2 linked regions of the Caenorhabditis elegans genome follow. The protein of the gene in region 1 interacts with the protein of each later gene in a biochemical or structural test. Each region holds a gene or a part of one and is shown on either strand. Other genes may lie near its edges.

Region 1 (4,907 bases):
ACTTTGCCGATTTGCGGGGAACTTTAATTTTCGGCAATTTTCCGTTTCGCCGTTTTCCGAGAAAAAAAATTATTTGCGGCCCACCCCTGGTGTGTAATGTATGCATGCGACAATTTCCTAACGCGCTAACAATTGCCTTTACATTAGTTTACAACTCTTCCCGGTTATAGATCTCATTCATCCTGTTGCGTTTGTTGGGTGGCCCCCTCCTCATTGGGATATGTTTGCCTGCTTTTTTAGTTTAAGTGTGTCTGTATTTTTTTCAAAATGCTTTGTGTTATGGTTTTGTTTGGGCTTAAAAACTTTTTTTTTCGAAAATTGCTAAATTATTTTTGCCATTTTTAAAAAAATTTTATTCACTTTCATATATTTACTCACTGTACTCAAAAAATCATATTTTTTCTCTTGAAAATTTTGTGTTTGTTCCAATTGTTTTTTCCTCTAATTAACTCCCAATTTTTTTCACCAGCTTTCCCCAAAAGATTTGCACTTTTAGATGCAAGAAGTATAGGGATAGTGCGAAAATCAGCAAACAATTCTCCCAGCTCTCCACCAATTTTCCACTCTTTTTCCTCGCCGCTTTTCACCTTTTAACCTACTACCCCCATTCCAAGCAGCTACCGTTCCTCCCTTAAATCGGCTTGAAGACTGTCCAATTGTTGTGTCAATATTTGTGGGGGTACTTTTATATAATCGGAAGGTTTCGACAGTTTTCGCCACCTTCTTTGGTGAGGTGGCGATATCAGTGATTATAAAAGGTATGGGAAAATGAAATATATATAGTCAAAGCTATAACCTCTGGGAGATGATTCTTCCTCTATTTATAAACACTTGAGGATGTGAAAATCGGACGGAAAAGACGAGCCACCAATATGAGGTTTGATGATCGGGGAACTCTCGTCGAGTGATGAGATGACGACGACCTGTGTATGTCGGAAAAGATTTGGGGATATTTTGTTTGGACAGGATATATGATGGTTTGGGCGGGTATTGCAACAAAAACTCTTTTTGCCAAATGAAATCAAAAGTGCACGCGGGCCGGAGCAACTTGAAAAAGGCGAAGCTTTGTACATGGTTTTCACCGCCTTCCTAGAAAAATCCTAGAATTCAGAAATTTGCAATATAGAGTTGTTTTGAATTGAAATTCATGAATTGATCACGAAGTGGCTAGGTTTATTGTATGTACAAAAGTCTTTCGATAAGACTATGGTAGCACACTCAAATGCACTTGACGTGAAACGCCAGGTACTGTGGATTCACTCTGTATCAAGAGAGTGGCCGACAAATTTTATTTTTGGCAGTTGCCAAAATTGAAAATTTTAGGAAAATTGTGGTTTTGCAACTATGTATTCATGCAACATCAACATATTTTATATGTTCTGTTGAATTTTTGTACTTTTCTGGAAATTATGTAGTTTTACATAAAATGAGGACTGCTAGATTTGAAGCTTAAACACACTGGAATTGCTTTAGAAAGTATACATGAGAACTGTATGATTTGGTTACTGTCAGCTAATGGCCAGAAACGCATTAGAATTGGAAATATTTTCTCAAACACCAATGCTACCAAATTTTCTAGCTCTTTTCAAACTTGCACCCCCAATAGCGGCAACCGCGTCTAATATAATAACAATAAGCAAGAAACATGCGAATCTATATTATATATTATGAGACGGTTATATACCATGATACTCCGTCCAACGTGGTGCATGACAAGCTATTCAAGTATGTGAGTGTGTGAGTGAGTGTGAGTGTGTGTGATGTGTTTATGCTAGTTGCGAGACGCGCAGGCGCAACAAGAGAGGCGGCTCTAAAATGCAAATATTTACCTGAGTCAGGAAAGAAATTCAGTTAGAGAAGAAGGAGGGTGGAAGCTTCTCCTAAAAAAGTGGGCGGGGCCTAAGAAGTTGCAACTGTGCCGCTGTGCCTCGCCGCCGCCGACGGTCAGCGCGCGCCTCTGTCTAGCAACCTTCTATCTCCTTACTTTCTTTTTTTAAAACTGACCTACTGCTCATTTATACCCCCCGTCAACTAGTTAGGGGGGATGGCGTTTTCGCTGTTCTCCGTCGTTTCACTGACGGTCATCTACCGGTTGACCATCAACTTTCCCGAACTACCGTACACTCAGGAGTTGAAGAACGTTGAGAGCGATGAGTTCGTGAGCACATCTAGAGATATAGCTCATTCTATTCAAGAGTTGGTCAAGGATCTAGAAGGAAGGCATACAGCTAAGGTTGCCGATTATAAGTGAGTTTTGAGTGAAAAAGGTTATCGACAATTTTGGGCGTTTTTCACTTTTCAAGAAATTCTAAAATTGCTCCCCTAATTTCCACATATTTACTTTTTTGCGGAATCTTAAAATTACAAAATGTCCATCAGTCCGTAATCCAAACCCGTAACTGTTGCCCGTGGGCCATAACCCAGAGTCCGTAATCCGCAAGTTCGGAGACCCGGGTTCCAAAATTGGGAGTCCGGAGTGCAGAGCCCGGAGTCCATCGTCCGGAGAACGGAACCCGAAGCCCGAGGTCCGAAGTCCGAGGTCCGGAGTCCGCGGTCATTCAAAATTCAACAATACTAATTTAGAAGGCATACTTCTGCAGCTTAATTTTAAAAAGTATATATTAAAGTTTTCAAATAATTCTTCCAAATTCCAATGTCATGTTTTCTGATAATTCTTAACAAAAAAAAAACGGTCGCTTCCTCCCACGAGAGAAAGTCAACAATAGAGTATTTTGTGTAAATACATGCGTATGTATGTACATGTGTGTGTACCTATATGTTGTTGTAACTTCCAGATATCACAAAATCATTGGATCTCTTGTCTACGTGGATTTGTACGCTGAAAAAGAGTCACCACTGGTGTCTGATGTGTTGTTGTCCGCGATAAAGTCTGGAAAAATTGGGAACCTTACGGTTTCCGATGAGGGTTTTGAGCTTCATGTTGTAAGAGGTGTGTTGTTGTGTGTTGTTGTGTGTTGTTTTATATGTTAAAATTATTCAGTCGCCTGAAAAATCTTACTTTACCAAAAATTGCAGACTCGTCAATAGCCTGCGCCACCACAGAATTCACATGCCTTGACAAGTCATGCATCCCGGCGGATCAACGTTGTGATGGAAGACGCAACTGTCCAGATGGATCAGATGAGCACAAGGAGCATGGAAAATGCAAGCAGCATCAACCAATCATCCATCAAACTGAGAAAGTTGTCTTCGCTCAGAAACATGGATCCATCCATCTCTCGGCTTCAATTGATAGTTCGGTAGAGGATAATAAGGTTCGTATACACTTTATTTGATTATAAAAAAGTGTCTACATGATTGGAGGCTATGCTTAATTTTCTAATTCCAAGCTATGTTGATAATTAAAAAAAAAGTTTCTTAATTGACTTTTGAATTGAGGTAATGCTCCGAAAAATCTTTTAATATTGTGTAAAACTATTGATTATTCCAGATTGCTTGGTCCAAAGACAGCGTTCTTCTTGGAGTTGGCTCGATGACCTTGGCAGAAGACGGGCGTGTGACGGTTTACAAAAAAGGAGACAAACATCATCTTCATATCATCAACGCCACCGACGCAGATGATGGAACTTATAAAATGATTGTGCAAGGAATAAATGTGGAGGCTGATTTTGAGGTAAGCGTTGGAAAGTGATTCAGGAAATTTGAGAAAAATATTAAGAAAGGGGTTTCCATATATGCTATCATTGATGGTTTGAAACTTCCTTTAAAATTTTAAATTTCCAAAAATATTGGCAAAACTGTAACTGAGAGGTTCAACGACTATTATATTTGCACATGAATTTTTTGGTCCATTTTTTAAAAAATTTTTCTTCTCCGATTTGCATATTTTGATACATTGTGTTTCAACTTAAAGGACTTCAAACAAGTGAAAATATGTTTGAAAATTTCTAAAATCAAAATTTTTCATTATTCCGAAACCGATCAGAACCAATTTCCATTTACAGTATTTTTAGCTATTCATAAAATGTTCAATTTCAGGTCCGCATCACCTCCGACCGTGTCGCCACCGAATCCGACGAATGCCCAAGCGGGGAGCGTGCCTGTAAATCTGGACATTGCCTTCCAGTCGCCCAATTCTGTGATCGCCGAGTTCAATGCCCAGATGGTGATGACGAGGAACATTGCTCTGGTAGGGGGCCTCTTAGTCATAAAATACATTGAACATTTCGTTATAATAGGTGCTAGATACTACCTCGCTCCTTAGAATGTAATAATTGATGTTTTTCATTGTGAGAAAAATACTAGTACCAAAAAATGGAAGATAGATCAATGACTCATTTCCAATAATTTTTAGTTGAAAAGCAGCCAGTAGACCCGGTTATTCCAACAAGGTGAGAGGGGACGAAAAGAGCACACACACACATGTGTGTGTGTGTGCTCGGAGAAACAATAGTTAAACATTTGACCAGCACACTTGTTTTGTTTTTCGCACACTTGTAGGAGAAAATGCTCAAGGAAAAATTGAAAAATTGTGCTCCGTGCTTGAGAAAATCTTTCGTCGACTTGACTTATTACAGAAGTGCAATGCAAATCGAATGAGTTCCGATGCGAGTCCACAAATGTTTGTGTGCCAACTGTCGTCGTCTGTGACGGATGGAAAGATTGCCATGATGGTTCTGATGAAAAGGTAAGGGGTTGGGGAATTTTAAATTCAACAAAGTTGTACTGTGAAACTACAGTAGGGAAATCGTAGGGATACATTGGACCCACAAAAAGACCGCATTTTTGCAATACAGTAGTATTCCAGAGCCTGTATGGATACTCTATAAGATATTACTGTAGATGCACTAAATAATTCAGGAATGGGCGGCAATTGCTGTTCGGCAAATCTGGCAAATCGGCAAATTGCCGGATTGCCGATTTGCCAGAAAAATCGTTTGCCGCAC
Region 2 (7,718 bases), on another chromosome or scaffold:
TTAGACGTTTTGTGTTCCCATTTTAGTCATAAAATCCCAAAAGTACATAAAATCGCTACAGTCAAGGCGCACTAAAAAAACCTTTTTAAAAAAATAGAAAAAAATATGACTTTTTTAATTCCATATTTCGAAATAGTAGTAGAGTATTCGCCTCGCCACAACTTTTTTGGCGCATTTGTTCCCGGCATGTTTTTGGTACAATAGACGACGTTCGCTATCTTCTTCCCGCATGTCGTGACTAATGTCCCGTTGGCTTGTACATGTTGAATATAATTTCACACACACACACACACACACACACAGCGTGACGCATAAGTTAGTGTTGTTTTTTCTATGCTGGCCGGGTCTGTTCCACTTCTCATCTTGACCATTTATGTTTCGACACTGTGATTTGTTTCAAGTCGACTTGTTCCTGTTTTTTGTTCAGTTCTTTGGAAATCAAGTGGCTATTGAAATATATTTTTTGTGAACTCAAATTTGCAGACGTGTCTGTGACCATTAATTTCAAACTATACAATTTTATGGCATTATTTTCTAATAAAACCCCCATTTTGTTTAGATAAAATTGTTAGTGTTCTAATGAAACATACATTTTAGAGCGAAGATAATTTTAACTATTTAACTTAAAGAGACGTGATGGGGTGGTAACAATTTAAAATTTCTGGCTTGTATATATTTTTGGCATCTGTGATAAAGACAAATTGTAGGAATATGTTAATTTAAATAAACTTAATCCAAAATTTTTGGATTTATTTTTCAGGACTCATTATGAAACCTTCCAGGGAGCCAAAACCCTCCGAACTTAATCTCCTTTATTTAAATTCAGAATTTTACAAAATATCCAAAGATAAAAATACCTAATAATAGTTTACTAATTTTTGAATTAGATGACAACCTTTCAAAACAATCGACTCCCCGCTCCTCCTACCAGGTCCCTCTCCGATGGTGCGGTTTGTCGCCTCGCGTCTATAATAAAACCACCGGCGGAGGTGGTTGGTGTCCAATAAACGTTGAAGACCCCCACCGTTTATACCCAAACGCCCTTCTTTTTTACCTCTTCTTCTACTCAAGCATATCTATCAGATCTCTCACACACAGTCTTCCCTTCTGGTAGATACTAATCTAGAGTAAGATGCGACCCGCCCGGAGGAAGACGAGAGGAATATTTATATTTTTCCCCCTCATCCAACCTACTGAATCATACCAATAGTTGGTGGGAATTGCCGAACAAAAAATAAACATATCCATGACTCGACACAAGTGAAATGCGAAACCTAGCGTCTTCCATCTTCTATGTACGGGATATCCTTCTATTTTTCTATCCACGATGGATTATGATTTATGAATCTTCCTAGATTTTTCAAAAAATTTCATTTACTCCTTCCCCTGCTCGTTTTGCTCTGCATCTTGTTTCTATTATTTACATCAAGTTCGCTAAAACAAACTCAATGGCGGCCTGCTTGTGTGTATGTGTGTGTGTGTGTGCGTGTGTTTGCCGTAAATTCTTGTTTCTTTCTGATAAGTTATGTCTTATCGCCGCACAGTTTTTCCTTTTCGTCTTCAATGCCTCCTTCTTACCGAGCTCTGTTTTTAGATTATTAGAAGCATTAAAACCAGTCGTCTATTTCTATTTTCAGTCTCAAAAACTTGTTGATCAATTTAATTTTTTCAATTTTCAGCGACCAGCATCGAAAGAAAACCGATCGGAGTGGGAAGAACGCCTCACCGAAGGAAGGAAGCATGTCCCACGAGTCATCGGAAAGTGAGTTCTAGACATTTAAGTTTCAAACTGTTTCTATTTTGCAAAACGTTCAATGTCCACTAATCTCAATTGTTTGCCACAGTTTTCTCCTAACCAATTATCACCGAACCCATTTCCTACGGTCGCCGTGGTCGTTAAACTCAATGTCACAATGACCAGAATTAGCCAAGGCAACACACCAACTTATGTACATTCTTGCGTTTTCTACGCTCCCCCTTTCCCTGCCTTCTTATGACTTCAATGCGATGATCGCATCTCAACAGTCTTCTTATCACCTCGAAACTGCCAAATACGGCCACCCCGCCTCATGAGGTATTGTGGTGTTGACACTTACACATTTCGATACACATACACATATACGTAATAATTTTGCTATATACGTTTTCGAAAAGTTCACACTACTCGGAGCCTCCTCCTCCTCCCCGCCAGGTGAATGCTTTCTGGCGCGCATGATGGTGAGGATGCGTCTCTGAATGTGCAAACATTATATTTGTATAAGAAGGCGAAGAAGACGCAGTGGGAGGAATAGAAGGCAAAAAGAAAGAGGGCAAAGAGAAAACAATCTGTTTGTGATGGTGTGTGTACGTGTCCGACAGTCCAACCAGGAGTCTCCCCTTTATTCATCGGAGACATCTTTCCGGGGCCAGTCTTGTACATTCCGAAGGGAAAGGGGAGAAAGGAGGGAAAACGAGGGAGATTGCGCATCCTCGCAGGGTGACTCATCGTTATTTGCCGGGATGGGAAAGAAAGCGCATGATAACCTTTTTTGTTGACCATGTTTTGCCGCAAAATGAGTCATCAACCTAGACTTGTTACACTTTGCGACTTGGGATGTGCATAATCCTACAACAATTATAACTGAACATGAAACTGTATTTTCAGAAGCGCATAAAGCGATAGAAAATGTGGAGGACTACTGCCAGACACTGACAAGACACGGCAATGAGGAGCTACGCACAAACCTGGAACGAGTTATCACCACATTCAAATCAAACCTGATGCATTCGTTGCTCGACATTCACGATCTGTACGAGCAGACGCTGCTCAGCGAGCGAAAATCAGATGCAGAGAAAAATATGGAAGTAAGGCGTGTGATTGAGCGACTCGAAGGTGGACCACACTCCTACAACAGTCGTCCGGCTGCGACGACTTCCACGTCGAACTACAACCTTTCAAGCACAACTCCACTTATTTCAGATGTAAGCTCTGCTTTCTTTTTTTCTCTGGATTTGGATTCTAGATTTTTTTAATACTTTATAAAAAAAATTATTTTAGCTGAGAGATCGGGGAGGTTTCTCGTATTTGAACGGCGGAGGCCTTGGAAACGGGCTTGGGAATGGACTTGGAAACGGACTTCTGTCTTCTCCGTACAACTCATCCAGCACTCACTACCTTCATGAGCGTCAACGTCAGACCAGTCATGATGGAACATGGCGGGAAACAACCACAAGAACAGTTGACACTCCAAGTGGTCTTGAAAGACGTGTGGTTGAAGTAAGATAATTTTGGCTCAATATTAGTTTTAATTATCATATATTCAGCATACTGGAGTTATCGATGATCATGGTCGTAAATGGGAGCTTGAGAATATTGTCTTGGAGAAAGGTCACACCGGCCTTGGATTCTCGATTACTGGAGGTATGCGCGTTCAACCGGTATTTATGATGTAACATATCTGATTATAGGTATGGACCAACCAACAGAAGACGGAGATACTTCTATCTATGTCACCAATATTATTGAAGGAGGTGCCGCACTTGCTGATGGGCGTATGAGGTAAAAAACCGCAATTTAAGATGAACAGAACTTTATGGTCATGTTTTTTTTAGAAAGAATGATATTATCACTGCAGTCAACAATACAAACTGTGAAAATGTGAAGCATGAGGTTGCAGTCAACGCATTGAAAAGCTCCGGAAACGTTGTTTCGTTGAGTTTGAAACGGCGTAAAGATGAAGCCTTTCTTCCAATTGGAGGAAACTTTGGCGGGTCGACTTCTTACCTCAGATCAGGAGTCACTCCATCAGTGAGCGCCGGCAACTTGCAACACGCAATTCATTCTCCATCGGCTCCGATTCATCCACCACCGCCACCACCAGTTCATCACGGATCATTGAGCCAATTATCTGTTGGCCAATATCGTTCCACACGACCGAATACATCCGTCATTGATCTGGTTAAGGTTGGCGACATTTTCTCTTTCCAAAGTACAAAAGAATCTATGTGAACTTTTTTTAGGGAGCACGTGGACTTGGTTTCTCTATTGCTGGTGGTCAAGGAAACGAGCACGTTAAAGGAGATACCGATATCTATGTGACGAAAATCATTGAGGAGGGAGCAGCTGAATTAGACGGAAGATTAAGAGTCGGAGATAAGATTCTTGAAGTTGATCATCACTCTTTGATTAACACGACTCATGAAAATGCGGTCAATGTTCTCAAAAACACTGGAAATCGTGTTCGACTTCTTATTCAGCAAGGAACTGGGGCAATTTTCAATGACTCGGCGAGCCAACAATTCATGCCAACTACCCCAATTCTCAGACGTAAGACAATCCCAAGAATCAAAAATAATAATATAGTTTCTAATTAATTTCATTTCAGCTAGCTCCGTTCAAGACTACAACCGCTCTCAAATGGGATCTCAAAGTCATTTGTCTTACGGAGGACCACTGAACACCAGCTACAGTTCACAAGCCCCCATCGCAATTCCACTCGAACCCCGTCCAGTACAACTTGTAAAGGGCCAAAATGGACTTGGATTCAACATTGTTGGCGGAGAAGACAATGAGCCCATCTACATCAGTTTTGTTCTCCCAGGAGGTGTTGCTGATCTTAGTGGAAACGTGAAGACTGGAGACGTTCTTCTTGAAGTGAACGGAGTTGTTTTGAGAAATGCAACCCATAAGGAAGCAGCTGAAGCATTGAGAAACGCTGGAAATCCCGTTTATCTCACTCTTCAGTACAGACCACAAGAGTATCAAATTTTTGAGTCCAAAATTGAGAAGCTGAGAAACGACGTGATTGCTCAATCTAGAATGGGAACTTTGAGCAGAAAGTCTGAATATGTTAGGTAAGAAGATTTGTTTACTTATAAATGTATACATATATCAACGAATAACATCTTTCAGAGCACTTTTCGATTATGATCCATCACGTGAAAACTCTGTTGCTCCCCATAGATCAATGGGATTTAACTATGGTGACATCCTACATATCATCAACTCATCTGACGATGAATGGTGGACAGCTAGAAAAGTTCACGAAAACGGAGAAGAAACAGCTGAAGGAGTGATTCCATCAAAGAAACGTGTCGAGAAGAGAGAACGACTTCGTCGGAAGCAAGTCAACTTCAACTCGGGATCGCAGTCTCTTGGAAGAAACTCGAGCACTACTGGATTGGAAAACCGAAGAGGAAGCCGCAGTCAGCTTTCCTTCTCCAGAAAGTTCCCATTCGTCAAAAGTACCGACCGGCTCAACGATCTTAATGAGGAATCCTCAAATGTAGCTGAAGAGCCAGTGTGGTCCTACCAGGCAGTTGAGCAACAGGCGATCAACTACGTTCGTCCAGTGATCATTCTTGGAGCTCTCAAAGACCGAATCAACGATGAACTTGTCAACCGCGACCCTTCGAAATTCAGTAGCTGCGTTCCACGTAAGTTGTGAAGTTATTAACTACTTTAAAAAAGAGAACATTTCTAAATAGTATGTGCAATATACTCATAATACCCTTTTCAGACACTTCCCGACCACCACGCGAGGGAGAGGTTAACGGACGTGACTACTACTTTGTCAACAAGCACAATATGGAGGAAGATGTCAAGAATAATCTCTTCATTGAAGCGGGACAATTCCAAAACAATCTCTACGGAACTAGCATTCAAAGCGTCCGAGATGTCGCCAACCAAGGAAGACACTGTATTCTGGACGTCAGTGGAAATGCTATCCGACGACTTCAAAGCAATGCCAATATTCAACCAATCTCGATCTTCATCAAGCCCAGCTCTGCACAACAGATTCTGTAAGTTAAATTGTAAAAAGAAGCTTTATCAATCTGCAAAATTTCAGTGAATTGGACAGCCAACTTGCCACCAACCGACAAGACGATCGAGCGATGAGTGGCGAAGAAGCTCAAGCGCAGTATTCCAGATGTCATAGAATTGAGCAAACTTTCGGGGATTTGTTCACGCGTATGTCTTTTTTCCAACCATTATTATCAAATATCTGATTTTTTATTTATTTCAGAAGAAATCTCAAATGTGCACAGCGCGAATGACGTTTTGAGCAAAGTGTACTCCATCATCAGCCGTGAATCGCAGACGCCAATTTGGGTGCCACGTCATTAGATGAAATTGGATATTTTTTAGACAAATAATCGTTTCTTCAAGAAATATGTCTTCTTGAAATTAATTAATATACAGTTTAATTTACCTTAATAATTAGACTACGCCGTGTTGTGATACTTTTTTTTAATCTGAGAAAAGTGATCCTTTGAAAAAACTCTTGATGTCATTTGCTTTATCCTGTTTCCATCCCCATCTTTATTTGTATTTTGTTTAGTACCCCTTCCCTATTATGCATTAATTTACATGACCTTTCCAAGTTCTCAATTCAAGAAACTCTACTACTCGAACTCAGAAACGTGAAAGGCCAATATTTCAATAGTTTTCTGATTCTTTTTTTCTTTTACCTTGCTCATTATTTTCATTTTCAATCATAACTCTCCACAATCACTGCCAGAAAACGGTGAATCGTTTCTACTTTTGTCTCCGAATATTTTACTACGATAGTTTGTACTGCCTGTTTTCTCTACAGCCCATTTTATCTTGAAATTCACCTTACAAATACTTGCATTTTATAATCCGCCCCAGCTTTCCTTCCTTCTTCCCTCTCCTTCCTCCCCCAACTCAATTCACTTCTTACTTGAAATTGTGACAGTTTGTGATATTCTCAACGCTTCATTTGTCTCTACTAACCGCAAATCATTATCATATTCCCGACTCTCTACTGATGAAAAACTTCGGCTCATTTCTATTTTTTGGGACTTTTATTACTCTGAGAGCATTTTATTTTCATCCATTGGTTCCAAACTTTTTTTTTTTAATTATTTTTAAAAACTTTTTATACAAATTATCTTGAATAAAGATTTTATTGCATCTGCAAAACATACATGTGTTGAAGTAACAAGAAAAAACTTTATTTTCAGTATATCAGGGTGTTCTGAAAATGACTGCGGCAATTTGTCATTAAAAATATTCATTTTATTAGATCGCTGGAAAAATTCCGAAACAAAAGGATTTGAAGTACTCTTCAGAATCCGTTTCGAAATGTGCTTCCGTAGCGCAGTAGGCAGCGCGTCAGTCTCATAATCTGAAGGTCGTGAGTTCGAGCCTCACCGGGAGCAATCTTTTTTGCCTAATATATTTCTTCGACTGAAATATTGTTCCTGATATTTTATTAGTCTTTCAATTAACGAAAAAAACATGTATTTTAAACGCAAAATAAGATTAGAATGATTTTAAAATATCAATAATATTTTAATTACTGACTATGAGTTAAATTTGAGATTTTTCAACTAGACTATTTACAGTTGTGATATTTTCAAATCCCTGTCCCACTTGGGATCTCAGTTTTTGCATCCTTTCTCAAGTCCTTTGTGAAGAGTTCACAACGTGCTTCCGTAGCGCAGTAGGCAGCGCGTCAGTCTCATAATCTGAAGGTCGTGAGTTCGAGCCTCACCGGGAGCAATTTTTTTTTTGAAGTTTTCCCAAGTAGCATAAGTTGCCATGAAGAAAACTGTAATTTTAATTTAATTTTTAATTTAACTGTTTAAATTCATTTTTTAATTTGAGTCAAAGCTAGCAATTTATTTTATCTCACATTTTGTTAATTTGAAACACAGACTGGCTCGAATTTAAGAACATTTTTTTATTCTTTTGATCCTACTTTGCAGACGTT

The links.
Region 2: the proteins of unc-52 (region 1) and dlg-1 form a complex in vitro, tested with the Caenorhabditis elegans proteins (one study listed by BioGRID).

The regions. Positions count from the first base shown.
Region 1 is NC_003280.10:14,681,434-14,686,340, reverse strand, and holds the start of unc-52 (Basement membrane-specific heparan sulfate proteoglycan core protein), read left to right. Parts: upstream 1-1,884; 5' UTR 1,885-2,044; coding exon 2,045-2,247; intron 2,248-2,795; coding exon 2,796-2,950; intron 2,951-3,036; coding exon 3,037-3,275; intron 3,276-3,451; coding exon 3,452-3,634; intron 3,635-3,999; coding exon 4,000-4,150; intron 4,151-4,538; coding exon 4,539-4,648; intron 4,649-4,907. UniProt on the Caenorhabditis elegans protein: Component of an integrin containing attachment complex, which is required for muscle development and maintenance. Probable structural role in myofilament assembly and/or attachment of the myofilament lattice to the cell membrane.
Region 2 is NC_003284.9:5,478,021-5,485,738, forward strand, and holds dlg-1 (Disks large homolog 1), read left to right. Parts: upstream 1-1,679; 5' UTR 1,680-1,740; coding exon 1,741-1,762; intron 1,763-1,971; exon of another isoform or gene 1,972-2,082; intron 2,083-2,198; exon of another isoform or gene 2,199-2,476; intron 2,477-2,644; coding exon 2,645-2,961; intron 2,962-3,037; coding exon 3,038-3,256; intron 3,257-3,303; coding exon 3,304-3,400; intron 3,401-3,447; coding exon 3,448-3,538; intron 3,539-3,591; coding exon 3,592-3,943; intron 3,944-3,999; coding exon 4,000-4,306; intron 4,307-4,364; coding exon 4,365-4,833; intron 4,834-4,891; coding exon 4,892-5,415; intron 5,416-5,498; coding exon 5,499-5,781; intron 5,782-5,828; coding exon 5,829-5,950; intron 5,951-6,005; coding exon 6,006-6,106; 3' UTR 6,107-6,921; downstream 6,922-7,718. UniProt on the Caenorhabditis elegans protein: Essential multidomain scaffolding protein required for normal development. Recruits channels, receptors and signaling molecules to discrete plasma membrane domains in polarized cells. Required for proper embryonic elongation.